4 linked regions of the Pelodiscus sinensis genome follow. The protein of the gene in region 2 interacts with the protein of the main gene of each other region in a pairwise test. Links are inferred from orthologs where the notes say so. Each region holds a gene or a part of one and is shown on either strand. Other genes may lie near its edges.

What was found. The genes of interacting proteins can lie anywhere in the genome.
Region 1: the proteins of PTN (region 2) and TAF1D interact in a two-hybrid assay, tested with the Homo sapiens proteins (2 studies listed by BioGRID and IntAct). The link is inferred for Pelodiscus sinensis from reciprocal best matches to the Homo sapiens genes PTN and TAF1D.
Region 3: the proteins of PTN (region 2) and CHD3 interact in a two-hybrid assay, tested with the Homo sapiens proteins (2 studies listed by BioGRID and IntAct). The link is inferred for Pelodiscus sinensis from reciprocal best matches to the Homo sapiens genes PTN and CHD3.
Region 4: the proteins of PTN (region 2) and DNAJB11 interact in a two-hybrid assay, tested with the Homo sapiens proteins (2 studies listed by BioGRID and IntAct). The link is inferred for Pelodiscus sinensis from reciprocal best matches to the Homo sapiens genes PTN and DNAJB11.

Annotation. Positions count from the first base shown.
Region 1 is NC_134711.1:305,249,295-305,256,249, forward strand, and holds the start of TAF1D (TATA box-binding protein-associated factor RNA polymerase I subunit D), read right to left. Parts: upstream 3,019-6,955; 5' UTR 2,885-3,018; intron 2,358-2,884; 5' UTR 2,313-2,357; intron 1-2,312. UniProt on the Homo sapiens protein: Component of the transcription factor SL1/TIF-IB complex, which is involved in the assembly of the PIC (preinitiation complex) during RNA polymerase I-dependent transcription.
Region 2 is NC_134711.1:103,329,425-103,337,413, reverse strand, and holds the start of PTN (pleiotrophin), read right to left. Parts: upstream 3,018-7,989; 5' UTR 2,578-3,017; intron 1-2,577.
Region 3 is NC_134734.1:10,543,068-10,550,798, reverse strand, and holds the start of CHD3 (chromodomain-helicase-DNA-binding protein 3), read right to left. Parts: upstream 3,019-7,731; 5' UTR 2,347-3,018; coding exon 2,142-2,346; intron 1,511-2,141; exon of another isoform or gene 1,303-1,510; coding exon of another isoform or gene 1,230-1,302; intron 1,224-1,229; exon of another isoform or gene 1-1,223.
Region 4 is NC_134720.1:2,943,421-2,950,621, reverse strand, and holds the start of DNAJB11 (dnaJ homolog subfamily B member 11), read right to left. Parts: upstream 3,019-7,201; 5' UTR 2,967-3,018; coding exon 2,842-2,966; intron 1,729-2,841; coding exon 1,572-1,728; intron 92-1,571; coding exon 1-91. Other genes in the region: TBCCD1 (TBCC domain-containing protein 1), read left to right, coding at 4,400-4,750. UniProt on the Homo sapiens protein: As a co-chaperone for HSPA5 it is required for proper folding, trafficking or degradation of proteins.

The DNA.
Region 1 (6,955 bases), about 200 Mb from region 2:
TTACATTTTATTTTGATTACAAATATTTGCAAAATGAGCCCTGTACACTTTGAATTCTGTTCTAATTGAAGTCTGACAATGTAGAAATATCCAAAAATATGGAGCAGCTGGTTCTGGAACCCTCAAAAGGAGAGGTTCTTGATTTAGTCCTAAGTGGAGCACGGGATCTGGTCCAAGTAGTAAATATAACGGGTCCGTTTGAAAATAGTGACAATGTAATAAAATTTTACTTCCCTGTGGAGGGAAAAACAACACAGCAGCCCAACACCGAGGCATTTAATTTCAGAAAGGAAAACTACACAAAAATGAGGAGGTTAAATAGAAACTAAAAGGTACACCGCCAAAAGTAAAATCCCTGCAATCTGCACGGAAACTTTTCAAAGACCCTAAAATAGAGACCTAACTTAAATGTATACCCCAAAAAATAAAAACACAGTAAGAAAAAAAAAGTACCACTGTGGCTTAACCAAGTAAAAGAAGCAGCAAGAGATAAAGAGGCATTGTTTAAAAAGTAGAAGTTAAATCCTAGTGAGAAAGATAGTAAGGAGCATAGACTCTGTCAAATTAAGTGTAAAAATATTATAAGAAAAGCCAAAAAAGTATGAAGAACAGCTAGCCAAAAAAACTCAAAGTAACAACCAAATATTTTTTAAGAAAATCAGGAAGCCTGCTAAAGAACCAGTCGGGCCGCTGGATGATTGAAATGCTAAAGGAGCACTCAAAGTTGATAAGGTCATTACGGAGGAAACTAAACTAATTCTTGGCTTTGGTCTTCACAGCTGAGGATGTTAGAGAGATTTCCAAACCTGAACCATTCTTTCTGGTGACAAATCTGAGGAATTGTCCCAGACTGAGATGTCATTAGAGGTGGTTTTGGAATAAACTGATAAACTTAAGTCAGTGAGACCAGATGGAATTCACCCAACAGTTTGTAACCTATCCTTAAATCATCTTCTGTACCTAATGACTAGACGATAACTAATTTGATGCCAATATTTAAAAAGGGCTCTAGAGGCGATCCTGGCAATCTCAGACGAGTAAATTTAATGTCAGAACTGGGCAAATCAGTTCAAACTATAGGAAAGAATAGAATTGTCAGACACGTAGATGAACGTAATTTGTTGGGGGGAAAAGTCAACATTATTTTTGTAAAGGGAAATCATGCCTTACTAATTGACTAGAGTTCTTTGAGGGGATCAACAAGAATGTGGACAAGGGGGATCCAGTGGATATGGTGTACTTATTTCCAGAAAGCCTTTGACATGGTCCCTCACAAAAGGCTTGTAAGTAAAGTAAGTTGTCATGGGATGAGAGAGCAGGTCCTCATGGACTGATAACTAGTTAAAAGACAGGAAACAAAGGGTAGGAATAAATGGTCAGTTTTCAGAATGGACAGAGATAACTAGTGGTGTCCCCCATATGTTAGTACTGGGACCAATCCTATTTAACCTATTTATAAATCATCTGGAGAAAGGAGTAAACAGGTGGCTAAATTTGCAGAGGACACAAAACTGCTCAAGATAATTAAAAGTAAAGTAGATGGTTCAGCAACAAAATGGCAAATGAAATTTAATATTGATGAATGCAAAGTAACACACACTGGAAAAATAAACTAAACATACAAAATGATGGGGACAAATTTAGCTATAAGCACTCGAGAGAGATCTTGGGAGTCATTATGGATAGTTCTCTGAAAACATCCACTCAACATGCAGCGTCAGTCAAAAAAAAAAAAAAAAAAACCCAGAACATAAGGAATCATTAAAAAAAGGGACTGAGAATATTTTTATTGCCTCTGTATAAATCAGCGTACACCCATATAAGTCAGCGTACACCCATATCTTGAATACTGTGTGCAGATGCGGTCGCCTTATCTAAAAAAAGATGTATTGGCAAACATTGGAAAGAGTTCAGAAAGGGGCAATAAAAATTATAAGTAGTATGGAAAACCTGTCAAATGACTGTTTTTGTTCACTCTCCCTGGAGCATTTGGCATTGGAAACTCTGAGAAGTCAGGATACTGGGCTAGATGGACCTTTGATCTGACCCAGTATAGCCATGCTTATATATGCCCTCATTAATAGTATAACTGATTCTGATTTGTTTTTTTTAATTGCTTGACAGCCCTATTTATCACAAAAGCCACTAAACCTGCCACTCTACATTGGCCTTTTTGACTCTGAGGTCACTAGTGGACAAGGAGTGCAAGGTAGTTAGGGCAGGTAGGAAGGCATGGAGGGGAGCACTCCCAAACGTTTGTTACAGACTAGCAGCCACACACAGCTTTACCCCATGACTCCGCCTCCACCTACCTCTCCGTCTCCTCTCAGGATCAGGGCTCAAAGGACAAGCAGACTCTGCAAATGGAGGGACGTGGAGGAGTTAGCGCCTTGCCTTCCCGTCAAGCGGGCTTCACACAGAGCCGGCCCAAGCCATTCTTGCAACCTCAGCTCCAGGCGCGCGGCGCATGCGCGGCCCGCCTCGGGCGCGCGCGGCTCATTCTTGCAAACTCAGGCCCAGGCGCGCGGCGCATGCGCGGCCCCGCCCGGCCGCACCGCGTGGCGCCCCATAGAATCGGGCGCCCGGGCCTATCGCCCAGTCAGCCCCTAGCTTGGGCCGGCTCTCGCTTCAGACAGAGCAGCCCCTCAACAGAGGGCGCCAGGCGCCCGGCACGGCCGCCCCTAGCCCCGGGCACACGCATAAAGCTTTCAAGGGGAGAGGGGATCCAGGGCGGCGGCACCGCGCCAAGCCAAACGGGACGTCCCACGCCCGCCTGCCGCCGCAACAGCACCAGGGAGCCGGGCACGGCTGGGCGAATCTGCGGGGAGCTCCCTGCCCCGTAGCCACTGCAAAGGCCCCGCCGCAACCCTGCTACCAACCTCACCTGCCCGCCGCGCACCAGCCTCCGTCGTTTCAAAGGGCTCCTTCCGGTCACTGGGTCCGGGTCCATGTCGTCACATCCGCTGTAGCTCCAATCGCTAGCCAGTGGCTAAGGAAAACGCGCGAAGTCACCTCTCGCGGGTTTAGGACAGATAACTTACAATACGCATGCGCTTGGGAGGTGAGTCGCTGGATCAATTCATGGCTATGATTGGGCGCGAGCCAATGAGAAGGTTTGCAGGTGGGAACGCCCCTATGGTGGCATCGCCGTGCCTATTGGCCAATGGTAACTAAGACGGGCCGTGATTGGCCGGTGTAGTGTCAGGGGCTGGTAGCTGTAGGAATTAGCTGCGTGCGCTAGTTACTTACGCAGTGTCTGTGGGAGGGGAGATAAAAACGCGCCTCTGGACTGCGGGCGGGAAGGAAGCGCCATTTTGTGTGGGGCTAGGAGGGGGACTAGTACTGGGAGCTCGCTCGCAGGGGAGAGCCTTGGCGGTCAGGGCCGGCTCTTTGTTTTTTTCCACCCCAAGCAAAAAACTGTTTGGCCGACCCCTCTTTTTTCTTGGCTTTTCCACGTTTGCACTTTGCAATTTTTTGACTGTTTAAAATTTTTTTTAAATGAAAACAGAAAATTTGTAGTTAGTGAAATAAAACAATTTCTTGCTAGTGTACTCATTTAATTTTAACATTATTGCAATTACCCAAACCAAACTGATAGACTGCAGAGGGAGGTCCCAAAGCCATGCTTACAGAAAATGGGCTAATAAGGAGAAGGCCTGTGGCACCTTTTAGACTAACAGATTTATTAGAGTACAAGTTTTTGTGGCTAAAAGACCCACTTTTGCCCATGAATGTGTAAGCAGGGGCTGAACTGCTGCTTGCTGTCAGCCAGCTGAAAGGAGGGGTGGGTGTGCCCACTACAGTTGTTTAGCTCTACAAGGTAATTAACTGTTAACTGTTGACATGTAAATACTGCTCAGGAGAGAATCCAAGGTGTGGCTATGTAAATTCCATTCAGCCAGGGCTGATGGAGGGTCAGTGTTGGAATGGAATGTGGAGAATTGTATATAATTTGGGACTGTTGTGGGGGTCACTAATCATGCTACCCCTAAATGTGGGAACTGTAAAACATGCCACCAGTGCTTGCAGGAGAGACACCACCATCATGGTAAGAGGTCTCGGAAGAACAAGCCTCCCCCCTTCCAGAGTTGAGTGGACAGAGCTGGGGGAAAGGGTTAAAGGACTTGTGTCAGCCTGCTTCACACCTACCAGGTGTGAGCTATAAGACTGGCCCAGCCTGCACCTTTCCCCCTTTGTTTTAAGGACAGACCTAAAGCAGACTCCCTGAGGAGTCTTTTTGTTTGCTAGTCCAGTGAAAGCTGGATTCATTTGAGAGCTGAAATCACTGGTTTGGCTGAGAGTTGAAATCACTAAGCTGAAATCACTGGTTTGGCTGAGAGCCAGACCTACTGCAACCAGTAGAGTGGCAGCAGGCGAGGAGCGGCGACTAGCGGCGTGGCGTGGCGCGGCGGCAGGCGAAGAGCAGCCATCAGTGGCGTGGCGCGGCGGCAGGCGAGGAGCGGCCATTAGCGGCGTGGCATGGAGCGGCGGCAGGCGAGGAGCGGCGACCAGTGGCGTGGCGTGGAGCGGCAGCAGGCGAGAAGTGGCGACAGGTGCCCAGCGGAGCGTCCAGAGGTGTGGGACGAGACAGCTGGTGAAGCGTAGCGGAGTTTTCGTATAAGGTGCCCCCTATCTATCTCCCCACCCCCATTTCTACCCAGGTTGGGAGGTGAAACCCTGCGGGTGAACTTTGGGGCTCTGGGTGGCACAGAGACTTGTGGGGACAGAGACTTTTGGGGAGTCGGTGGACTTCGGGCGAATCTTGGCCGGGGTGGGGGCTCATGTTTGGGTTATGAACTCTGTTTGTGGTGTTTTCCCCAAGCTAATGCCGTATGAATTCTTCCTCTGTTTCATTAAATGTTCTTTTCCTACACTCAGACTCAGTGCTTGCGAGTGGGGAAGCATTGCCTCTCAGAGGCGCCCAGGGGTGCGTGAATTTCCCAGATCACTGGGTGGGGGCTCGAGCCGGTTCTTTGTGAGATTGACCCCAAGATATTGAACCCAGCCCTGGTTCCTGCCAGGCCTACCCGGCAGAAGGGCTACAAATGCTTGTGCTCTAATAAATCTGTTAGTTTATAAGGTGCCAGAGGATTTCTGGTTGTTTATGCAGATTCAGATGAACAGGGCTACCCTTCTCATTCTAAGGGTACGTCTAGACTACATGCCTCTGGTGGTGGGATGTAATAGTATAGTCCAGTGGTTTCCAGTCTTTTAAAGGATGAGATCACTTTTTGAATTGAAGTGCAATCCAGGATCTACCTCAAACCCAAATACTTTTGTCCCGCCTCCTTCATTCCCCTTCTCCAAGGCCCTGCTCCAGCTCCCTCCCTCCCCCATTATTCCTCCCTTTTATCAGGCAGGGGCAGAGAGTTGGGGTGCAGGCATTGATCATATGGATTTGGAGTGTGAAAAGGACTCTGAGCTGAGGCAGGGGATGGGGTGTAGGAGAGGGTACGTGACTGGGAGAGGGATTCAGGATGTAGGCTCCAGCTGGAAACTGCTTACCACAGGTGGCTCCTGTGTGGTGTTGCAATGGGGCTAAAGGCAGGCTCACCCCTGCCTGGCCCCGCACCATTCTCAAAAGCAGCCAGAAAATTCTGTCCATCCCAAACCCTTCTGTGCCCTCCACATCCATTCGCTGGAGATAGAATACACAGGGTGGGAAAAGAAAAAAGCTCGAAGGCAAAGAGCAGGAGGTGCTCAGCAGTGGGGGGAGGGGCAGCTGAAGTGCTGCACTTGACAGCCTCATGGCCAAACAAGTCGAGATCACCTGTCAGAGGCTCCAAGGTTGGTGACCACTGGTATAGTCAATTAACCGATAAGCAAAAGCTTATCGGTTAATGCTATAGACTACATGCATTTCCCTCTCCCTGCTAGTAAATTTTTTAACAGGCTGGCCAGCAGCCTGGCTCAGTCCTGGCTTGCCATGGGTCTAGGACCTATCCCCATTTCAGCTCTGCATTTCAAGTGTATTAAGAGCTAGATCGGGAGGCAGCTCAGTTCTGGCTCACACCGGTCCAGAAGCTGAGACCCATGCTGCTGCCTCTTTCTCAGAAGCAGCAGCACAGGGCAACAGGCAGCCGGTCTGTGAGGGGATCTGTTTTTTAAACTGGCTCCCTTTGCAGACCAGCTCCCACCTGGCACCCAGCACTGCTGGCCCTGCCCCAGGGGACTATAAAATAGTCAACTAACCGATAAAATTTCAGGAGGTTACTCTACTATTCAATTAACAGATTTTTAACATCCCTATATTGTGGATAATGGTAGAAATGTAGCCGTGTTAGTCTGGTGTAGCTGAAACAAAATACAGGTCTATGTAGCACTTTAAAGACTAACAAGATGGTTTATTAGATGATGAGCTTATTAGATGATGGTTTATTAGATGATGAGTGGGTCTGGCCCACGAAAGCTCATCATCTAATAAACCATCTTGTTAGTCTTAAAGTGCTACATAGACCTGTATATTGTGGATAGTTATCTGACAATATCTACTCAACGTGCAGCAGCAGTCAAAAATCTAACAATGTTGGAAATCATTAGGAAAGGGATAAATAATAAGACAGAAGATAACTCATCACCTCTATATAAATCCATGGAATGCCTACACTTGAATACTGTTATGGAAATGTGGTCATTCTGACTTAGTAAAAAAGGAAATACTGGAAGTGGAAAAGGTACAGAAAAGGGCAACAAAAATGATTAGGGTTTGCAACAGCTTCTCTATGAGGAGAGATTAATAAGACTGGGAGTTTTTAGTTTAGAAAAGATGATTAAGGGGATATGATAAAGATGTATTGAATCACAGCTGGTATGGAGAAAGTAAATAAGGAAATGTTATTTACTCCTTCCCATAACACAAGCACACAAGCAGTTATTTCGACATCTTATCTTATTATACTTTCAAAAGGATTTTCCTGCGGGACAACAGAGTGAAGTCATCCCGCATGCCCGGCTC
Region 2 (7,989 bases):
AGGAACACATTCAAAAAGGCACAATGAAGATTTTCAAAAACACCTATGTGACAGCAGCCTTCAGGACTTTGGCATTTTTTAAAATGTTATCCTTTATGTCCACATGATGCAAAACTTCCCAAAATAACCTAAAATATGGTTCCTTCTACTTATCTCAAAATACCAGAGCCATATCTGAAATTCATTGCTGCTGTTGACTCGGTACATAATCAGTGTCTTCAGTCAATGCTTAACATGCATTAACTAATAATACCAGGATATGGATATAAATTAGAAATACAGACCTTAAATGGCTCTGATTATTTTACTAAATATATACAATTGTCAGATGCCGGGCAAAATACAGCTGTGGGCCAGCTCCATCTTACCAAGCTGTTAGATCCAGCCCACAGACAACATAGCGGGAGCTTCAGTGAGGATGCCTGCCCTACCCCCGCATGCCACTCAGAAAAGCCAGCAGCTGGGTCCTGTTTGTCTGGAGTTCGTGCGCTGCCCCAAACTCCAGCACAATATTGCAGCTCTCATTGGCCAGTTTCTGGACAAAAGGAGCTGCCTGCTTAAAGAACAGACAGTGGACAAAGTAAGCCTCCCTCCTTCTTTCGGGCTTGCAGCTGTTTACAGATGCACATGGCTCCACAGCCAGCTACTCTGAGCTTCCTGACAGGGCATTGAAGGCAGGGAACCTGATGAGCTGCTGGCTGGGAGTTGCCCAGGTAAATGTCTTGCAGACACAGCCTGCCTCTGGCATCCCAGCCCCTCCTTCCCTCTGCCCCCGCCCCACATAACCCAAACCTTCCCTGTCTCCTGCACCTATACCCCCTCTCAAACCTTGTACCCTAATCCCCTGCCCCAGGTCACAACCCAAACCCCTGGATCCCCTCCTACACTCCAATCTCCTGCCCTGGGTCACAAACCCCTCCTTTACCCATACTACCTCCCAGATCCCACACCTCCTTCTGCACCTCAGTCCCTTACCCCAAGCTCCCTTCTATACCCAATCTCCATCCCAGACCCCACCCCAATACTATGGAAGGGCGCACCCCTTGACTCCTTTCCAAATTCTTGGAGTGCCCCCATCAAAAATTATTGCCCACCCCGATCAAGCTAGAAGTAGTAGTTTGATAGCACCATGGAAACTGAGACAAATAAAAGCGTAGCACTGAATGGATGGAAATGAAGCTGCAGTTTACGCTTGAGGCTTCCCAGAATGCTAAGAACAGAGAATACCTTGCAAAATAAGCTCCCTGTGAACAAAGGAGAAAAGTCCAAGGAGAAAAGTTATACTCTCAGGTAGAAGTCAATAGTGTTACATTGTGTATATACATCAGTCTCACTGACAGCAGTTTGGGCCAGTTTTAAAAGTCTTACAGGAAGCAAGGAGAAGGTTCAAAACAACTGAGCAGTAACAACTCTAGAATTGATCCATCATCACCTGTTAGTTATTTTAGCAGCACTAAAGTAGGGATCAACTAGGATAAGCAGGTTAACTCCCGTGAGAGTCAAACGGGGTTAATGTGCTTATGAGAGGGTAAAGTCTGGCCCAAAGTCTCTGGGAGCCAAGTGAGAGTATTGCTGGCACCATGCAAGGGGGCATCCAGAGCAGGTTCGCCTAGGTGCAAACTGCTGGCCTGCCTTCTCAAAACACTTTCTGCCCACAGGTCACCAGGGACCCAGGCTTTTTTCTTTCACAGCGCCGGGTTAAGTTCCGCCTCCTCTCCCTTAGCTTTTCAATACAGCCACAAATCGATCCGCCAGCCTTTCCTGCCAAGTGATTAGCAAGCGGTGGCTAAATGGAGCTGTGCGCAGTTGCCTTACATCCAAGCTGAGCGCAGAGCACAGAACGGATCCATTATCCTATTAGCCCTTCGAGTAATCCTCGGCGGCTCCCCCCCCGGCCTGCACAACCCTCCAGGCAGGGGAGCGGGAGCAGCTGGGGGGATTGTCCCCTTGGAGTCAGTGAGCGCTACTGGCGGGGCTGCACTCCTCGAGGTCTCTTTTCCGCTGCAGCCGTCGAGCCCCGTGCTGGGGAGGGGGCAGGTGTCTGGCTGCGGCACGCTGCCAGTAAAGCCCCCTAGGGCCCGGGAGGAGGGGGACGGGCTCTTCTGTCCCAGAACTTCTCTGTGGGCTCCGGGCCGCCACAGCCGTGCCCGGGGGAGAGTCAACTGCGATAAGCCCGAAGTGACAGGCTCGGATGTCGGTCACTGCTACCAGGAGCAGATGGGGAGAGTAGCGGCTCCTGCCTCTACACCGGCCCTGAGAGGACCAGCCCCGCTCCCCACCGCCCCAAGCTCTGCTCTCCTCGGGGCCCCCGGAATCCGCGTGCCCCCGACCCCTCTCAGACCCCTCCCTTTGCCCCCCCGGGGAGAAGCCGCGCAGGGAATTGCCCCGCGCCCACAGCACGCGTGTCCGCGCCGCGCTCCCACTCCGCGGGGGCCAGGTGAGCCCCGCCCAGCCAGGCGCCCTCCCTGGAGCAGGACCCCTCAGGTCTGAGAGAAGCCCCGCACATACCCCTCCCCCCCCCGCGCTGTCACTGCCCCCGGGGCAGGAGAAGGCGCCAGCCGCGCCGCGGGGACTTACGCGGAGTTGCAAAGCGCCCCGGGCTGCCTGCGGTTCGGAGGGACGGTCGGACGGTGCTGGGCTGCCTGGAGCGCGGCGCCGGCCCCTCTCCTGCGGGCTGGCTCCGGTCCTGACTCGCCGCTCCCGCGGCCCCGCTCCTGCTGGGCTGGGCTCCCCACGCCTTGGGTGCTCGAGGCAGGAACTCGCCGCTCCTCGCTTGGCCTCCCTGCCCCGCCGACTGCGAGCGCGCGAGAGAAGAGGGAGAGAGGCAGGCAGAGCGCGAGCGAGCACTGTGCACTCGTGTGCGCTGCGGCTGGGGAAGCGGATTAAAAGCAGGTCACCAGAGGGGCAGGCTCGCCCACCGCGGCGGGAGGAAGGCAGGGGAACGGGAGAGGGACTAGGATTGGCGTTGCTCCGTTACTGCTCAGGAAAGGTAGCTGCAGGGTAGCCTCTGCAACGCCACGTGGCCTAGGCACTGGGGCTCTGGGCCCCAAATAGGAAGCTTTGTTCCGAAAAAGAAGCGTTACATACAAACCCTCTTCTGGTGGGGACCGTGTCTCCCAAATTCCCTTACTTGGAGATGCCCTATCAGTTCAGGGCTGGATTACCTAATAGGCAGACTAAGCACCTGCTTAGGGCACCAGCAAAGCAGGGGCACCGAAAAAAAAAGAGATTTTATTGTATAGTATTGTTTTTATTTTGAATTACATGGGGGGGGGGCACCATAATCTTTTCAGTGCTTAGGGCCTCTAAAGGTCTTAATCCAGCCCTGAGGATCATAAATGGGGTGCTGGCTCAGGAGAGCTAGTAAGTGTCTGCCAGCCTCTGAGCCAAGTTACTTATTTAAAAAATCAAATGGACTATCTTCCTGCTTGCAATGTGCACAGGTAAGAGCTCAGAGGACTAACCTGAATTCACTCACCTTTAGGGACCAGGAAGCCATAAACAACTTTCAGGAACTTCATACACAAACAATTAGGCTACGTCTACACTGGCATGATTTTCTGGAAATGCTTTTAACAGAAGTGTTTTCCGTTAAAAGCATTTTCAGAAAAGAGCATCTAGATTGGCACGGATGCTTTTCCGCAAAAGCACTTTTTGCAGAAAAGCGTCCATGCCAATCTAGATGCGCTTTTGCGCAAAAAAGCCCCGATTGCCATTTTAGTCATCGGGGCTTTTTGGCGCAGAACAGTACTGTGCTGTCTACACTGGCCCTCTTGCACAAATGATTTGTGCAAGAGGGCTTTTGCCCGAACGGGAGCAGCACAGTATTTCCGCAAGAACACTGATGATCTTTGTCATGGCTCCTTCCCCACTCTGGCATGATAAATGCAGAAGTGGGGGCCAGCAAGTGTACCCCAAAGCCTTATCTACCAGGCTTTGGTATAAAAATTCCCCCAAGATCTTAAAAACCTAGATCTTGGGAATAAAACTTCCGCTGCCACCACCCAAATGTTGATAAAGAAATCAGGGGAAAGATCATTTGGGAAATCTTACCCCTAAAATAAAAATCAAGGCACACAATTAACCACTGCCAGGTTAATAAAAAGAAAAGAAAGAACTTTTATTATTACAACAATATTCCTGTTGCAACCATAATGACTAGATAGGGAGGTAACAAAATATACTCATGGAGAAACTCCATGGGCCTAGAACTTAGTTACAAAGAAAAGCCAAAACATCTTTTAAACCGTGCCAGATCTCAGATCCCATACCCAATCCTTAAAACAATAAAACCTAACGAAACTGCCTAAACTTTACCCTACTTACAGAAAATGAAGAATGGTGTCTTGGAGAGAGAGAGAGAGACATGCTTGTCCCTCTCTGTAGCTGCAGAGAACCCTCTCAGAGAGACAAAAGGAGCTAAGAAAAAAACCAAAATTCCTGTGTCCCAGTTTGAAAAGTCCCACCTACATTCTTATTGGTCACTCCACCTGGCTAGGTGTAGTTAACCCCTTAATCCCCAGGCTGCTGGCTAACCCTCATAATCATGACAATCTTACATGAGATCGTCAGTGTTCTTGCGGAAATTCAAGTGACCAGTGCAGACAGCTGGCAAGTTTTTCCACAAAAGCAGATGATTTTGCAGAAAAACTTGCCAGTCTAGACACAGCCTTATTGTACTTTTTGGTACTATAGGCCTGATCCAAAGCCCACCTGGAAGGCAAAATGTGTCTCTTTAGTTAACTGGGCTTTGAATTCAATCTTGTGTGAATCTCTTGATGGCCCAGAATTGGGCTGAAAACATTATGAGAAAAAGATGCCTGATACTTTTAATTTCCAGCTAGACTGAAAATACCACACAACTGTTTTTCCCCCATGGAATTTCTTCACTTCTAGGTCTGCTAATTGCTGGAATTACATCAAAGCTTTCACTTTAGGGGCAGGCTTTTCCCACTTTTAGCCTCATTGCATGTGTTAAATGAGAGTGCTCTACATTGAATTAAAATATATTGGACTCATTCTAGAATCATGCATACTTTTTCTGAACCTTAGAATAAGACCATTACATTTGAGGGTTTTGGTCTTCCTTCTGCACATAATTTTGGCTCCTATTGCACATAAGTGCAAAAATCCAGTTCAGGTTCTGTTTCCATTGAAACGAGCTAAGGAAGTCCACTGTCTGGCAAAAGTGTATATTGCATCATCTAACACCTTCCACCTGTAACAATAAAAGGCATTGTGCAGTAAGTCCCAGACTGGATAATTGCACCCACCTGGATTCTCTCTGGGTGAAGTAAACTAATTCTTTCAATTTCTTCCTTTGTTTTCATCACACAGCCATAGTGGGATTTAACGATAGCAATGTCACTGAAGACAAACAACTTTGATCATCAACACAAAATAATGGATGGGTATAGATAGAACAAACAGTTCTCTCTAGATGCTGGATTAGCGAAAGAAGCCAGCATTCTGGAGTTAAATGGCCAAGACTTCTGTGAAAAATCTACTTTTGTGGAATGGAAATTCTCCAAGCCAACAATAAAGAGGAATACTTCACAACAGGCTTAGGCCCAGTCTCTGAAGTGCTTCGTCTTAGAATCAAGGCCTACTGTGCTAAGCACTGTACAAACACAGTAAGTGACATTCCTTGCCCCCAAATAACTTAGAATGTTTGACACCTTTGGCCTTAAAGGTTTCTCCATTTGAGTGTCACCAAATCTCTCTGGATGGAGAGTGAGGTTGGAGCAGCCTGGTGAGAAGGGAAGAATGCAGCAGATTGAATTTCTGACTGAAGAGAAAACTGAGACATAGCAGGTCAGAATTATTCTTCCCCAAGCAGAAAATTATTTGTTTGTTGAAAGAGAGAAAACTGAGGTTTGTAGTTTTTCAAAAAGGGAGAGAGAAATTTTCTGCAAAAACTAGCCACTTTCCATTAAAAAATGTTATATTGTCAAAACGCAATTTTCCACTGTAAGGCAGTTTTAACTAACACTTTCCCTCCAGTTACAGGAGTTCCTGATACTTCCCCAAAAACATGCTAGAGCTGAATTGGCTGAAACTGAGCACACACACTGAACCAAATTCTAATCTTGTGTGATGTGATTTGCATTAGGATTTGGAGAGGTTAAACTCAGTTGTATACAAGATTATGCATCTGTTCAAATATGGTTGAATTAGGGCCTGAAGGAACTCTGATTAAAAAGAAAAACATCTCAGTTCTGGAAAGTTAAGGAATATGTATGGTTTTATTATTACTATAACTTGTATCAAAGTAGCATCTAGAGGGTCTAAGTACAGGACTTCACTGTATAAACATAGTAAGACATTCCTGCTCCAAAGAGTCTACAATGTTTGGCATCTTAATATTAATAGGACAATGACAAGTGACTTTGTAGACTGATTCAGAGCTAGTGAGGTGGGCCTCCCAAAGAACTTACCCATGTGTACCAAACTGTCTCATCTTGCTCTATCTCATCTGAAAACCCAGTGTAGATGCTGTTGACAAAGAGGCTCAGTGCTGCCCAAAAGATGGCAGACCTGCCCTTCTGAAAGTGAAGAATCAACTGGACAGCGGACATCTAGGCTACGTCTACACTGGCATGATTTTGTGCAAGAACTCTTTTGCGGAAGAGTTTTTGTACAAAAACTGTTCCAGAAGAGAGCGTCAACACTGGCATGTGGCTTTGCGCAAGAGATGTGCTTTTGCGCAAGAACATCCTTGCCAGTGTAGACGCTCTCTTGTGCAAGAAAGCTCTGATGGCCATTTTAACCATAGGGCTTGCTTGCGCAAGTAATTCATGTTGACTGTCTACACTGGCCTCTTGCGCAAGAACAGTTGCGCAAGAGGGCTTATTCCTGAGTGGCAGCATCATAGTTCTTGCGCAAGAAGCACTGATTTCATACATTAGAATGTCAGTGTTCTTGCACAAGAACAGTGTAGACAAGCAGCAAGTTCTGACGCAAAAGCGGGTGCTTTTGCGCAAGATCACACCAATGTAGACACAGCCCTAGATTATCTTCTTGAATGATGCAGATGGGGACACGAAGACAAAGAGGTTAAGTCTGGGTAACGTGAGACAAAAATACAGGTATCTACACTGAAAGTCAGTCTTTGGTTATTAATAGTCTAGTCTAGACATACAACAAATCTAAATTTAACTAAAACGAGATCTTGCTTATAGGCTAAAGAATCCTGCTATCTCTGACTGCGTTTAAAATCTTTCCCCTTATGTCTTGTTTGTCGCTATCAGTTTTAGATTGGTTTAAAAAACACACAGAGAAAGAATGGGTAGCAGGTACGGGAGTCAAACTATTATTTTCAAGTATCCTCTTCATAGCCTGAAACAGTGTCTCTGAAAGTGAGGGAAGAGAGGTGAAGACCACTGCCTTTACAAAAGAAAAGAGCAAGGATCAAAAGAACAAATTATATAGATTTTTTTTATTGTTGATGCAAAATGATTACATGTAAATTATCTCCAATATTTACACCAGCTGGTGCTCTCAGCATTTTTTAAAGGGATGGATTTTCCTAATCAGGAAAATCAGGATTGGGAATCTTGAGTGTGCCTAAAAACAGAAGCTTTCTTGTTATTTTCTTTTAAAAGGTGTTAAGCACCCTAAGTTTGGATTTCCGTTGGAGTTGTAGGTGCTCAGTATATGTAGGGAAGGATTTCCAAAGGCACCTGTAAGAAGAGTTAGACACCTGACTCTATTACTTTCAGTGAGAATTGGGTATCTGATCTCATTAGACCCTTGAAAATTCTAGCCCTAAAACCTGAGTATGAAATATGGAAGCAATACCTTGTGCAATTTGCCCCCAGTAAGTGTTTCATTGTCATTGGTCACATCACTTAGGAGATGAATGCTGTGAATTTTGAAAACTAAACAAGGATACACATGCCAGTTAACAGGTCAGCTTGGTTTGAACTTACTTTGTTTCAGATGTACTGTAAATATCAATTTATTTCTCGCAACCTGCCAGCTCTCAGA
Region 3 (7,731 bases), on a different chromosome or scaffold from region 2:
CATTTTGTTAAAGTACATCACCAGTGGAAACACATGCTGCTGGCTGTGGGCACTCTGCTAATCAGCTGGGCAGTATTTGAATCTCTCTGGGTGGCTGTCCAAGCGCATAGCTTACAGGGAACCCTAGCCCTGACTCACCCATTCCCCTGCTTCCGATTAACCGTGGTCTCAAGTCACCCTCCGCTCCCGCCACAACCTGGCCCTGACCCAGCCACTCCTTGCTTTCAATTAATCCTGTCCTCAAATCACCCTCCGCTCTTGCCACAGCCAACATGGCCCTGACCCATTCCACTCCCACCACAACTGACTACCCCTATCCTCATATCACCCTCTGCTCCCGCTATGACAATGTAGTCCTGACCCAACCATTTCTGCTGAGAGTAACGGGCCCCATCCCATCTCAGGTGATGCAACTCTATTCAGAGGGGTGCCAACTCTTCTCCACATAAGCTAGTTACTGACCCCCACCCCACAAGACACAGCCATGCCCAGGTCTAGGTAACCAACATGGCCACGTCCTGTGGACAGCAGAGTCATCTGCACTACTGACATGCCCTCCCCCTGCAGAGAGCCCATCCCTCTTCACTGCACCACTGCTAAGGGGGCCCATCCTGTAAGGCACAAGTCAAGTAGGGTGTGGAGCCCTATTTGCTATCTACTCCCCCGGGGTCCCATCCCCAAGAAAGTACCACTAATCAGAGGGCCAAAAGCCACCTATCACCTCAATACCAGCAGGCCAAACCCTACAGGTTCCCAAGCCCCCTCCCCAACTGATCACACAGGGCATCAAGCCCTCTCCCAGGTGGCTGGTTCCTCGAGGTTCCCTCCCCACCAATGACCCATGTGGCCTGTCCTGCCTGCCAGGTGTCCTCCATATCTGCCAACTAAGCACAGGGCCCCATCCTGCCCACCAGATACCAGATGGCCAACCCCCCCCCCCACTCCTACCAGAACCCAGCATCCCCCACTCCCACTAGCAGGCCCTGTCCTGCCCAGTGGGCACCAAGTACCCCCTCTCCTGCCAATGTCCTGAAGGCCCAATATTGCCTATCAGGCAACCACCCCACACTCCTGCTAACCTCCAATACATCACAGCCTGTCCACCAGGGCACCAAACACTCCTGCCAACGCCCAGCATGCCCCATTCTGCCCACCAGTTGCCAAGATCACACACCCTTGCACCAAGCACCCACCATCCCAGAAACCCTGTCCAGATCAGCCCTGCTTACCCCTGTGGGGGCTGGGGATGGGGAGAGTGCCATGTGGTGGCCCATCCACCTCCACTGATAGAGCTGCCCTCATCTCTGGGGCTGGGGAACCCTCCTCTGCTCCCCTTTACCCCAGGAGGGGCATGAACCAACTCACAGGCAGAGGGGCACTTTAAGGGGGGGGCTCTGTGCTGCCTCCCCACTTTCGGGGGGGGGAAGGGTAGGTCCCCTTCTTCATTGGAAGTGAGGGAGGGGCATCGGGCCCCACTTCTGGGGAGGACACTTCAAGACCAATTGCCTGCACCCTTCCCCCATCCTGAACGTTCGAAACGCGGGCGGCGGCGGCGGGTGGAAACTAGAATCCCCCCCCGTCAATGTTCCAAAGCCACTGGGCAGCGCGCGCGGGGAGGGGGATTAGAAACTCTCGTACCCCACCTTAACGTTCCAAAGCCTTTGGGCAACGCGCAAGGGGGAGGGGAGGATGAACTCTCGGCCCCTCAGCGTTATCAAAGCCGTTGGGCAGCGCGAGCGGGGGGGGAAAGGGGGTGTCGGAACTCTCGGCCCGTCAATGATCCAAAGAGGGGAAACAGGGGGGGCTGGAAACTCTCCCCTCTGGGCAGCGCGCGCGCTTGCGGGGGGGAGGACGGAGGGCGGGGGTGAACTCTCGGCCCCTCAACGTTCCACTGCTGTTGGGCAGCGGGCGAGGGGCAGGGTGCGAACTCTCGGCCCCTCAACGTTCCGCAGCCGTTGGGCAGCGCGCGCGGCGGCTGGGACTGTGGGGGGAGGGAAGTCGGAACTCTCGGCCCCTCAACGTTCCGCAACCGTTGCTTGTTTACAAACAATTCCCCCCCGCCAACATTCGAAAGCCGTTGAAGGGAGAGTGGGGGGTGTTTTGGCGCCCGGCTCTGGGGTGAAGGGGGGAGGGTTGTTTACCTGGAGGCGCCTCAGCTGCTAGTGGGGTGGATGCTGCTGGTGCTGGTGCCAGTGGAGCAGCAGCAGGCGGGAATATGTCGCCTGGGCTGTTGTCCCCTGCTCCTTCTTCCTCCTCCTCTTCCTCCTCTTCTTCTTCATCCCCCTCCACCTCAGACACCACCATCTCCTCCTCCTCTTCCTCGTCCTCCCTCAGAGGGGAAGCCATGGTGGTGCTGGGGGGGGGCAGGGAAACAGAGAGAGAGAGAGAAGGGGGGAACAACCCCCCTTCACCACACACAAAATTCCTCTTCCCCCCCCTTTCAGATCACCTCAGTCAAAAAAGAACAGCCTGAAAAAGTCCCATGGATTCAAAAAGAGGGAAAAACTCCTTTTTAACTTTTTCCCCTCCCCCCCTTTAAAATATAAAAATGGGGGGTAGGAAAGAGAAAGAGGTTTAAAATATATTTAAATTCTGAGGGGGCAGCCCAGCATAATATTTGCCACAAGAGCAAGGAACAAAAATGGCCGCCCTTAAATTATTTTTAAAACAGACCCCCCCCAGGAGGGAAAAAGGGGGGAAAAATCCCCCACCCTTTTCTTTATTAAAAAAAAAACAAAATGGCTGGCTTGATTTTAAGTCACCCCCCCTCCCCACGGCATACACACCTCTTCCTTGAGGTTCACAGAAAAAAATCCCCCAAAACCCCCCTCAAAAATCAATCCAAAACAGTCACAACAAAAAAGATTCCCTCCCCCTTATCTTAATTTTTCTCCTTATTGTTGCTTGTTTGAGTCTCTCAGCTCATTGCATAGATGAACAATATTTGTATATTCCTGGCACTGGGGGGGGGGAACTGAAAGAGAAAGATTTCTGCATAAAACAAAGATGGCTGCTCTAAATTATTTCTTTTTTCTTATACTTCTCCCCTCCTCCCTCAATAAAAATATTTTTACGAGGGGGGGGGACAGAAAAGGCTGGGATTAATCAGTACTCATGCTCAGTGTGACATCAGCATAAATTGTTAAAGGTTAACTAGTTCCATACTAGTAACACCATATATATATATATATTTTTTTTTTGGTTGCTTTACTAGTTCATGCGAAAGATAAGAGAAGGGGGGCCTTCTTTTTTCCCCTTCCTTTCCTACTTTTAAATACTTCAGAAGGGAGTAGGGTTTTTTTTTCTTTAGGCTTAGGGCAAGAAAGGAAGAACCAAGAAAAAAAATAATTTAAACTCGGTCCAAATTCAGTGAAGTGCATCGAGGGGACAGATTTAACTCTGTCTTTTCCTTGGTGTTTTTCAAGAAGGTTTTACACTCTCACACAGACATACACACACAAAAATGAGATTTCCCCCCCTCGCTTTTCTATTAAGAAAAACCGCCCTTTCTTTATAGTTAGCTTTCCCCCCTGAATTTTATGTCACCCAGATAAAATCAGGGGGCAGAATGTAATTGTACCTTTTTTATTTTTCTTTTAAGGCTCTGCTTTTGGAGGGGGGAGATTTTTCTTAAACTTACAGCAAGCACTCCAAACCCATCTAGGTTTTTTACAGACACCTCCAAAACGCAAATGGAATTGGGGTGCTCCTAAAAGTATAAGGTACACAGAACTCTATGGTCCTGATCCTGTGACTGGCATTGCGCCTGCAACTCCATAGGCTTACAGTCCTTATCAATGGCAAAATAGGGGTTCAGTGATCCTGTCCAGTGTTTATTCCAGTGCATAATCCCCATAGCAATGTGTTTAGTAAGCACGTGTGGGCTTGGGCCCTAACTACAACTTGGATGCACCTCCACAGAGCCTGATCCTGAAAATGTTACAGATATATGTAATCTGTTTGCAGGACTGGACCATTAATATTAAAGAGTCTGTTCCCATGAGATGACAAGGAGTTTTGCAATAGACTTAACTAAGTACAAAATTCTACCTAGAACTGGGAAATTCCAAACTTTTTTTTTTTTTTTTTTTTGCATTTTCGTAAGCTATTTGGTTGTGTTCCTTAAAATCAGGGAGCTCCTAAAGTAAATGTATAAGGGATACAGTCTCTATAGTTTTATTTTTTTTCTTTGAAAATATCAGTATTTCAAATGCCCTTTCCCCACACTTCCAAAATAAGACCTCCTAAAGGAAGAAGGGATGCAATCTTTTCGGATTCCATCGTCTTTTCAAATGCATCTGGTTTTCTATGACTATCCTCATACATTAAAAAATGCAACAAGTAAAATAAAAACCCCAATCCTGCATGGATCTATACTAGCAGATTCAGTTGTAGGACCAAGGCCTAATTGAGGCACTCCTAACAGATCCTGTAGTTCCCTATTTGTATTTGTTAAACTTTCTCCCTTTTGTTTTCCTTCTCAGGCATATTATACCCCTAATTGTTTTGTTTTCTGTATATTAAAATAAAAGAAGAGGGCACAAATGCTAATCCCACCACAAGGCAAAGGTACAGTCCTGGGAACAATTAAGCATATGAAACGTCACAGCCTGTCTCTAAACTTTTGCAATTTTCAAATACTCTGCTGCCTAGAAGAAGCAAATAAAATTACAATTTGGGATTGGGTGGGAAAGAATTTATCTTCAATTTTTATAGGGAAAGTGTGATGATTATTAATTTTTCTCCTCTATTATCTCTCTTTATGACTGTCAGTTCCAGGAGAGAAATTTTCATATATTTTAAGACCAGAAAGAAGTGCTACGATCATAGAAAGGGCCAGAGTACTGAGTCACTACTTTCTGAATAAAGCACATTGTAGACAAAACTTCTGAACTGTAAAGACCCCCATGGCAATGTTGGTCCAAGGTAGACAGCCTCCCTTGCACATTTCCGGGGAATCTATCTGGGAAAAAAAAGATAGTAATCCGAGACAGGTGACCATTATCATGCAATTTTTACACAGGGAAAACTACCTACCAGCATTATAACTGCAGACATAATTTTCATAATCGTAATATAGCCATCAGTTCTGTATGTCTATTAATTGTGTTAAACCTGGTAGGAAAGGGTTTGTATTTGTATGCTCATCACTAGGAACGTTCAGTTAGCTGCTTAATTCTCAGCTCCATTCCCCCTGCAGAATAGTCATAAATACCCACATAGGATATGCCCATTGCCTGCAGGGAAACACTGCTTGCCAACCAAATGTTTCCCTCTGTGCCTTTTATATTTAATTCAACACCCCCTACAGCCTTTCAGGAGCATGGGCGCTGATCCCATTCATTCATGTTGAAACAGTTCCTTGGCGGTGCTAAAAGCCAAGGGTTCTGGAGGAATTTGGAGGCAAAAGGGGTGGACTCAGGTTTTACTCTTTGGCTTTAAAATGCAATAGACAAAGAGTTTTGGAGAGTTTTTTTTCCAGTTGATTTCATGATCTTTGGCTTATTTCGTCTTCTGGTTAGCTGCTTGGAAGGGGGAAAAATTAAAGGGCATCTGATAATCTGTTTTTCAAGCTGCTAATTTAATGTTTGCAAGGTGGTTAATATGGTATTATCATACCGTTAAAAATACACACCAAGAACAAGACACAAATTCATGACAATGATAAAAACTCTTCTTAAACTTGTTTGTGGCTCCTGGTTTATATTCCCCAGGGAATGGTTTGGTGGGTTGTGTGTTTTGTTTTGTTTTCTTTTTAACCTCTGTCTCCTATCTCTGTTTGGTGTTTCTTTGTAGCTCAGCAACTGTCAGAGGGAGACCACCGAAGAAACATAGCATGGTACTAATAGAGAAGTTGTAGTGTTTATCAGAATGGTTCGCCTATCACATTTTGTCTTGCAAGAGGATCAAAGAGTCGATACGGACATATCCAGTCTCCACTTCCCCCAAGGGAACTGCCTCTGTTTGCACTGGAAAAATCTTTCAAGGCTACTGTCACAGCCTTGGCCTCTTCCCTGCTGGTTTTCTAAATCAACACTTTTTTTCTCTCTCTTTAATAACATGTTAAAGTTGTGTAGCGATCTACAACAATAGGAGAATGCCACATTCAATCCTAAAGAACCAGAGGGCAAAATGCTGACTCCAGTGCAATTAATGGGAGTTTTGGATGTGGCTTCCATAGGGCCAGGCTTTCACCACAGCTCATTTTTGCAAACATGAACTAGAAAACATGTAGCATTTACTACTTCATGGTCTCGCAGGTAAGACACTGGTTGGGATCTCAGGGAAAAGGGATTAAATGTGCAGCTCTGCCATGCATTTGCTAAAGGATTTAGGGCAAGTCACTTTATCTTTCCGTGTGGCAGTCTGGTTTATTTAGGCTGTAAGCTCTTCAAGGCAGAGTCTGCCTCCTCTGCTACACACTTGTGCAGCACCCAGCATAAGGGAGTAAAATTTCAATTGGGCCTGAACAATTTCTGAAACTGAACTCTGGCTTACTACTTATTATCATAGTGGCATAGGATTTACTATGGTAAGTAATTCCAACTGTAGGGCTACTCAGGATAATATACAGATGGTAGTAACCAGAGCAGTCACTTGCTTGCAATAGGCTTTAACAGGGGCATAGGCCTTGGGTAGCCTTTGGCAGAGGGGTGGATTTTAAGTCTGGCAAAAATATCATGTTAATGTTAACCCTACAAATGTGAACTTAGTTAAGTATTACAACCTTTCCAAAGATTTTTTTTAATGTGCAAAATTATATATGATAGTATCATACTGTATAGCTATATATTTTTTAAATACATGTATAATTTTTAATATATAATTTTGCACATTAAAAAAAATCTTTGGGAAGGTTGTAATACCGTGAGATGGAAAAATTACAAGATGTGTCAAGGTTTGGGGAAATGGATAGAAGCCACTTTACTTCTGAGCATGGACTGTACATCATTTTAACCCCTAGCTCTAATACTTCTGTTCTCCTCCCCACCCCACCATGGCATTTAAGCAGAACCATTTCCCTCTCTGTGAAACAAAAATGATGATAATCACTTGCGTGTAACAATACACACTGGTCTCCTGGTGAAGATTAATTGGGCAGTAATGTGGTGTGCTGAAGATTAAAGGTCGACGTCTGAGATGGTGTAAGATGGTATACTCGCACTGACTTAGGTAAAGCTCTCCTGGTTTACATCAGCTGAGGACCTAGCCATAAAAACATTATAGAAATGTTATGCATTAATACCATCAGAAAGACCAGAGCAGCAGTTTATTTTTATTTTTTAATTATTTATTTAGGAAGTTTTAACAAGTTTACAAATCCTTGTTGTGTAAATATCAGAAACAAAATAATCATCACGGCAGTTAGCTTTTGCTTCAAGAGACACTACACAGGTATATAGTCATCCAGTCTTTTTATTTAATAAGGTGTTACCAACCATATTACCAAAAAAGCACCATTATAACACCAATGTCATTTTTAGTGACTTTGTTAAACTGAGTGAAATCTCTGTATATATGCATTTAAAGTATCAGGTATGACTATCTAATATTAATATTCAAAACATTTTGCACACGTGTCCAGTTTTTTGGTTGTTGTTTTGTTTTGCAGATGAATGTGCTTTGAGTACTGAATAAAAGGTAGCCAGATATCTAAGAATATAGCCGTCCTTTGTCTATTTTGCGTCCACAATTGCTGTATTTTTCCAATATTTTCCAACAATTTCTAAT
Region 4 (7,201 bases), on a different chromosome or scaffold from region 2:
AGATGTCTCCATGGGAACCCTGGTGACCATCCTTCAATCCCTCCTCGCCATAGGTATCATACTGCTTTCTCTTCTCCTCGTCTGAGAGCACCTGAGAGGGCAGAGGATGTGGGACAAGCACTAGTGAGTCAGGTTATTTAAACAAGCCTTTGAGAGGAACCCGGCCTTTACCCCAAATGAGGAATAAGAGGCAGTGGAGAGATCCAGATCACTTTTACTATGGCGGTGCTGGTCACCACTCCATAATCAGCACCAAGTCCAAGGTTGTCAGTTTAACAAGAATCTTTATTTTGCAGAAATTGGCTCTTTGGAAGTCTCTTGTCACCATATCACATGCATCTCATCGAAACAGCAAACCACCCAGACGCGCTATCATTCAACGCTGTTTCAATTACTCTTGGTGGGCTAATGGAAAAAGGATTAGCAGCGGAGTAAGAGCTCAAAAACACAGTCCTTTCGGCAGTCTGTCACACAAGTGTGTCGCTCTTCTTTGTGAATCACACGGCTACTCCCCCTAGGGATGTAGAAATCCCGTTACCCAGTAAGCAGCACCTGCTCCTTGCCCCAATCTCAGTAATACAGAAAGAGCATTTGTCCAGAGAGCCTTTTATAACCTTTCACCCTGCCTCCATCATCTCAAGTTTGAGCACCAAAGAGAAGCCACCAAAGAGGATGATCAACCTGCCATGGTGCAAACATTGGCGCTCACTTCTGGGAAAGAGAGCGAGCTGGAGAGCAGGGGTCTTGGCCATATGAAGGCAGAATAACGTCCCAAACGCAGGCAAGGTGTCACAATTAGATGTACTGATCTGCTGAGCCAAAAGTATGAGAGATGGCTGTTGAAGTTCTGCACCAGTGAGAGCGCACTGCTTAAATGGGGGCTGTTTGTGATTTCCCATCCCTGATCTAGTCTGACCTTCGTTGCACAGGTCATGGAATTTCAGCCAGTTATGAAGCCCAAATCAAGCCTATATCTTGTGGCTGAAGTGGAGCAGTCAATCAAGTTTTGGTGCTTTGAAAGAATAAGCTTTTGTTTTCCAGAGAAGAAAATGTGCTACGACAGAGGTGGCTACATCTTGAGCATCCACAGTAATCAAACTGCCTTTGGCCCCAACTACTGCAATAGCTAGCGCAAATCCAAACTAGGCATCTTCAAACTCCATTAAAAGGAAGCATTCCACACCCTCCCTTGCATGTTGCAGGGGAAACTTAACTCCAAAAATGAGATAATTGGGATCTACAAGCTGGCCCGGGGCCTCTACTAGAAACCTTAAATAGAGTGACAGCAATCAGGTTAACACAGGGCAGGCTCTTCACAATTTTTCGCTATCACTCCTCTGCCATTTCCAGTCAATAAACCTGTCTGACTTTTCACTTTTGTTGCAGCAATTCATTACCAACACTGAAATGTAATCATTGCTGACTCTCCCTGATTAACAACAGCTCCAAGGCCATCACTAGAAAACCGGTTGCACCCTCCTGCAAATGAGGAGATGGAGGAAGAGACTCCACCCAGACAGGAAAACCATGTTTGTTAGTACTCAGAGCAGATACTCTATTAACTCACTGACCTCATAGGCAGCTCCCAGATCCTGGAACTTTTCTTGCGCTCGCGGATCGTCAGGGTTGCGGTCCGGATGAAGCTGCAAAGCCAGTTTCCGATAGGCCTTTTTAATGTCTTTTACTGATGCACTGCGGGACACCCCCAGAATCTTATAGAAATCCCTCCTGAGAAATAGAGAGCAAAGTAAACATCTAGTCATGGCCTCTGCCACAAATGCACCACTTCTAACGAGACAACCACAGAACACCACCACTGCTACTGCAACTGAACAGCTCAGTAGGGTGAAGGCACCCTCCTGGAACACCTACGAGTTTCAATCAGTGCCATGACAACTATTTTAGTGGAGAAGTTGAAGCACAGACGTATTCAGTGACTGGCCCAAAACAGTGTGGAGGGTGTCCGTGTGTGTGTGGGTATGTCTACACTTGCACCCTCTTTTTGCTGGGGGCCGGGTGGGGGAGGGGCTGGGGGAGCGGTTGGGGCGGGGCGCTGCTGGGGGCCGGGTGGGGGAGGGGCTGGGGGAGCGGTTGGGGCGGGGCGCTGCTGGGGGCCGGGTGGGGGAGGGGCTGGGCGCGGCTGGGGGCCTGTGGGGGCCCGGTGGGGGAGGGGCGGGGCGCTGCTGGGGGCCCGGTGGGGGAAGGGCTGGGGGCCCGGTGGGGGAGGGGCGGGGCGCTGCTGGGGGCCCGGTGGGGGAAGGGCTGGGGGCCCGGTGGGGGCGGGGCGCTGCTGGGGGCCCGGTGGGGGCGGGGCGCTGCTGGGGGCCCGGTGGGGGAGGGACGGGGCGCTGCTGGGGGCCCGGTGGGGGAGGGACGGGGCGCTGCTGGGGGCCCGGTGGGGGCGGGACGGAGCGCTGCTCGGGGCCCGGTGGGGGCGGGACGGAGCGCTGCTCGGGGCCCGGTGGGGGCGGGGCGCTGCTGGGGGCCCGGTGGGGGCGGGGCGCTGCTGGGGGCCCGGTGGGGGCGGGGCGCTGCTCAGGGCCCGGTGGGGGAGGGGCGGGGCGCTGCTGGGGGCCCGGTGGGGGAGGGGCGGGGCGCTGCTGGGGGCCCGGTGGGGGAGGGGCGCTGCTCGGGGCCCGGTGGGGGAGGGGCGGGGCGCTGCTGGGGGCCTGCGGGGGCCCGGTGGGGGAGGGGCGCTGCTCGGGGCCCGGTGGGGGAGGGGCGCTGCTGGGGGCCCGGTGGGGGCGGGGCGCTGCTCGGGGCCCGGTGGGGGAGGGGCGCTGCTCGGGGCCCGGTGGGGGAGGGGCGGGCCGGGGGACGGCCCCGCCCGCGCTCACTCACCCGGCGCTGGCCTCGCCCAGCAGGTAGAGCAGCAGCAGGCAGAGGCGGCCGAGGGAGCGGGGGGCCATGGCCTGCGCGCGGGGGGTCTCGGGCCGGCTCCCGGAGCCCGGCGCGCCGGTAACCATAGATATGAAACGGAGCCCGGCGAAGAGAGCGGGCCAATGGGCGCGCGGCACAGCGCGCGGCCCCGGTCACACCTCGCCAATCACAGCCGCACACTTCACCAACCGCCCGGCCGGGCGGGCCAATCACAGCCCACTACATCAGCACTGCGCCTCCTGACCAATCGCTGCTATCTGCGTCACCGATACCTGGGGCCAATCACAACCCCAGGAAGGACATCCTCTCCCAGGGATCCCTCACCCGGAGAGTGCCCGGCTGAGGGCTAGCCAATCCCCGGCCGCGCGCGCCCCTCCCGGCCAATCACAGCGGGGGCGGAGGAGCGCTGTACCACTGCGACAGTGGCCTGCTCACGCAGAACAACAGTCGCGTGCTGACCCCTGTCGCTGTGGTGAGGGAGCGGCGGGGCGGGGCAGGTCTAGCTAACGTCTCGCTGGTCGCAGCCGCAGTGCGCACGTGCGGTTGCTAGGCGCTGCTGAGGGGAGAGCTGGGATTCAAACGCGGCGAGGCGCGGGGCCGGTGAGCGGGGCCTTCGCCTAGAGCTGGGGCCGCGGGGCTCTCGCCTGGGGGCGGGGCGCTGCCTCAGTGCAGGGGGAGGGGCTCTCGCCTGGGGGCGGGGCGCTGCCTCAGTGCAGGGGGAGGGGCTCTCGCCTGGGGGCGGGGCGCTGCCTCAGTGCAGGGGGAGGGGCTCTCGCCTGGGGGGCGGGGCGCTGCCTCAGTGCAGGGGGAGGGGCTGTCGCCTGGGGGCGGGGCGCTGCCTCAGTGCAGGGGGAGGGGCTCTCGCCTGGGGGGCGGGGCGCTGCCTCAGTGCAGGGGGAGGGGCTCTCGCCTGGGGGGCGGGGCGCTGCCTCAGTGCAGGGGGAGGGGCTCTCGCCTGGGGGGCGGGGCGCTGCCTCAGTGCAGGGGGAGGGGCTCTCGCCTGGGGGGGCGGGGCGCTGCCTCAGTGCAGGGGGAGGGGCTCTCGCCTGGGGGGGGCGGGCGCTGCCTCAGTGCAGGGGGAGGGGCTCTCGCCTGGGGGCGGGGCGCTGCCTCAGTGCAGGGGGAGGGGCTCTCGCCTGGGGGGGCGGGGCGCTGCCTCAGTGCAGGGGGAGGGGCTCTCGCCTGGGGGGCGGGGCGCTGCCTCAGTGCAGGGGGAGGGGTTCTTGCTGGGGGGGGCGGGGCGCTGCCTCAGTGCAGGGGGAGGGGTTCTTGCTGGGGGGGCGGGGCGCTGCCTCAGTGCAGGGGGAGGGGCTCTCGCCTGGGGGGCGGGGCGCTTCCTCAGTGCAGAGGGAGGGGTTCTTGCTGGGGGGGCGGGGCGCTGCCTCAGTGCAGGGGGAGGGGTTCTTGCTGGGGGGGCGGGGCGCTGCCTCAGTGCGGGGGGAGGGGTTCTTGCTGGGGGGGCGGGGCGCGTGGCCCGCTTGGGCGCCGTGTGCTGAGTGTGTGCGCTCCGCAGGTTGCCATGGCGCGCGTTGCCATGGAGCCGGCCGCGGTGCAGCTCTGGGTGAGGACGGAGCCCTTCCTGGTGGGGGCACTGCAGCTCCTGCCCCCGGCCAAGCTGGGCCCGCACTACCTCCGCAAGATGGCCGCTTACGCCCGGGCGCGGGCTGCCGAGGGTTGCTACCCGCGCCTCACCTGGCCCATGTGGCGCCACATCGCCTGCGGAAAGCTGCAGCTGGCCAGGGACTTGGCTTGGCTCTACTTCGAGGTCTTCGACAGCCTGGCGGAGCGGACGGCGGAGCAGCGCCTGGAGCGGGCCGAGGTGCTGTCTGGCTGTGCCTCCGACGAGGAGCTGGAGCAGCAGCGGAGCAAGGCACGAGAGACAACCCTGTGATCCTTCTCGGGGCTCACACTTGTGGGCCACGGCACAGGGCCGTAGGGTTAGCACCTTCGGCCGCCTACGCCTAGCCATTGGGTCCGAAACGTTGCACAGCCCCATCCCAGCAGCTTTTTCTCACGCTCCCCGGGGCAGCGATCGTTTTGCTGTCTGTGTATGCAGGTCACGCTACCATTCACGTGGTTAGCTTTCTGCTTGACTGGGGTTAATACCAGCCCTGCCCTTCAGAGCTGCAATGCTACCTTGCCTTTTCAAGTGGAGATCAAATGCTGTTCAGCAGAATTGCGTACGGTTGGTATAACCAACTAGGACATCTTTCTAGAGTAAAACATTTGACATACTCCCTTTCTCCCAGGATCTTGTTTAAATCTTCTGTGATGAGTTTGGTCACAGAAATCCACTTGAGCCTGTCACTTGATGTGCTGAAATACCACTGAGCCTGCCCCGTCTTACTGTGCCAGGCCGTCTGGTCTCTGTGGCAGTGGCACAGAGTTAGGGTTACAGTTCTCAACAGAGCCACACAGACACTTAGCTCACCTCTGGGAGGGGACAGAGCACCAAGGTGCACAGCCCCATTGGGACTAGAAACCCACGTAAATCAGTATTGCTTTGTATAAAGTTTTATACAGAGTAAGCTCTTAAATTTTTAACCCCCTTTATCAATGAAAGAGAAAGATGCACAGCTATTATGCTCTCTCCCCCCAGCAGGGATGTTTAATGTGTACAGTTAACATGCACAGTAACATGCAGCCCCCCTTTATCCCTTCCCCCCGGGGAGATGGCTTAAAAGCCAGCTCCCATGAGCACTGGCTCCCATAGAGCTGTCGGCTCCCTCATACTGCTGCTGCCTGTCCCCCTTGCATGTAAATGTGTAACCGTTGAAAATTTCAATGATTACATGTTTACAAAAATAAACATTTTAACATCCCTACCCCTCAGTAACAATGATTTACACCAGGGAATTAATAAATGATTTTATTAAGTATAAAAAGGAAGATTTAAGTGGTTGCAAGTAATAGCAGACAGATCAAACTAAGTTACAAAGCAACATAAAACACACCAGCTAAGTGTGGTTCTAATACTCAAAGAAACTGGTTACTTGCAGTTCTGACCCTAACAGTAGTTCTAATCATCTTTCCTCACAAGATGGGTAGCTTCAACTTGAGTTTGAGCCTTCTTAATGTCCAGTTCTAAGTGGTTGCAGCAGACCTCTGAGATGCTAAACAGGGGTGTCAAGTCTTGTGGCTGTCTCTGTTGTTTGGTTTCCTACCTATATCTCGATATTTTCAAGGCAGGAATCCCTTGTGTTCAGATCAGCCCTTTTCATTTTCTATGAAAAAGTACAGCATCCAAAATGGGTTCCTGTATCAGATGACCTGACCACTTGTCTTGGCTGGGTCAACCATGTCCCAGCAAACAGGAAAACCCAGATTATTTAGAGATCAATGCCCTGAGTACCAGGTCATTAAGTTCCTTGTGTACTTCAAATGACCTTCGCCTAGCATGTCTAGATTAGCGAACAGGTATACATGTCATATGTTAACTTCAAATACAGGAATGATACATGCACACAAATAGAATAAACACAGCTTGCAGATTACAAGCTTTCCAATGATACCTTGCAAGAATTATTTTGTAAAAAGCATATTCTATATTTCCATAAAGAATATGAAATACAGTCATACCCTTAAAAGCAGAGAAATCCCAAGTCTGATTTGTTCCTAATACACTATTGTTTTTTCACACAACATGGGCAGGTGAGCACAAAGGAGACTCCCGTAAAGGTGACCTGCAGACAAATTAAATTAGCCTAGCCCTTTTTTCCTCCTGTATGATGTGTAAAATAGACGTGAACATCTACATTTTTTTCTTTTTCACTTTATCAGGATTGTCAACTATTTCCCCCCTGGCTTTTCTGGCTGACTTGTAGGGAGAAGGGGGGAAAGAGAGGTCTCAAAATTTGTTTCTCCACAAAGGGTGGGGCCACTCAGCAAAATCATTCTTTAACATGTTAGTTAGTTTGTCTTACCAGAAAGGACTTTTAAACAGTCTGATTAAAAATCCACTCCTCTTTTTCTTGCCTCTTGCAATGTCATTTTCTAGTCATTCTAAGATTAGGCAGGATCTGAATTTGTAATGGGCCATGGGGGAAAGCAGAGGAAGGCTTTTGTCTTCCTTTGAACACAGTTTGGACTGCATTTTTTTGTAGAGAAATGACCCACCTCCACCCAAAAGGACAAGTCCAATATTTGCTCTTTGCATGTCATTGTTAAAGAACTTTTTCTATGCTTTTTGACAAACTAAACACTTTCAGTATTTGTTGATTGTGGCCCTCATGGAAGGGTCTAGAGCAGCGGTTCCCAAACTTTTCCAGATGGGGACCTGTTTTGACAATTCAGGAAGATTTGGTGACCCACGGCAATTCAA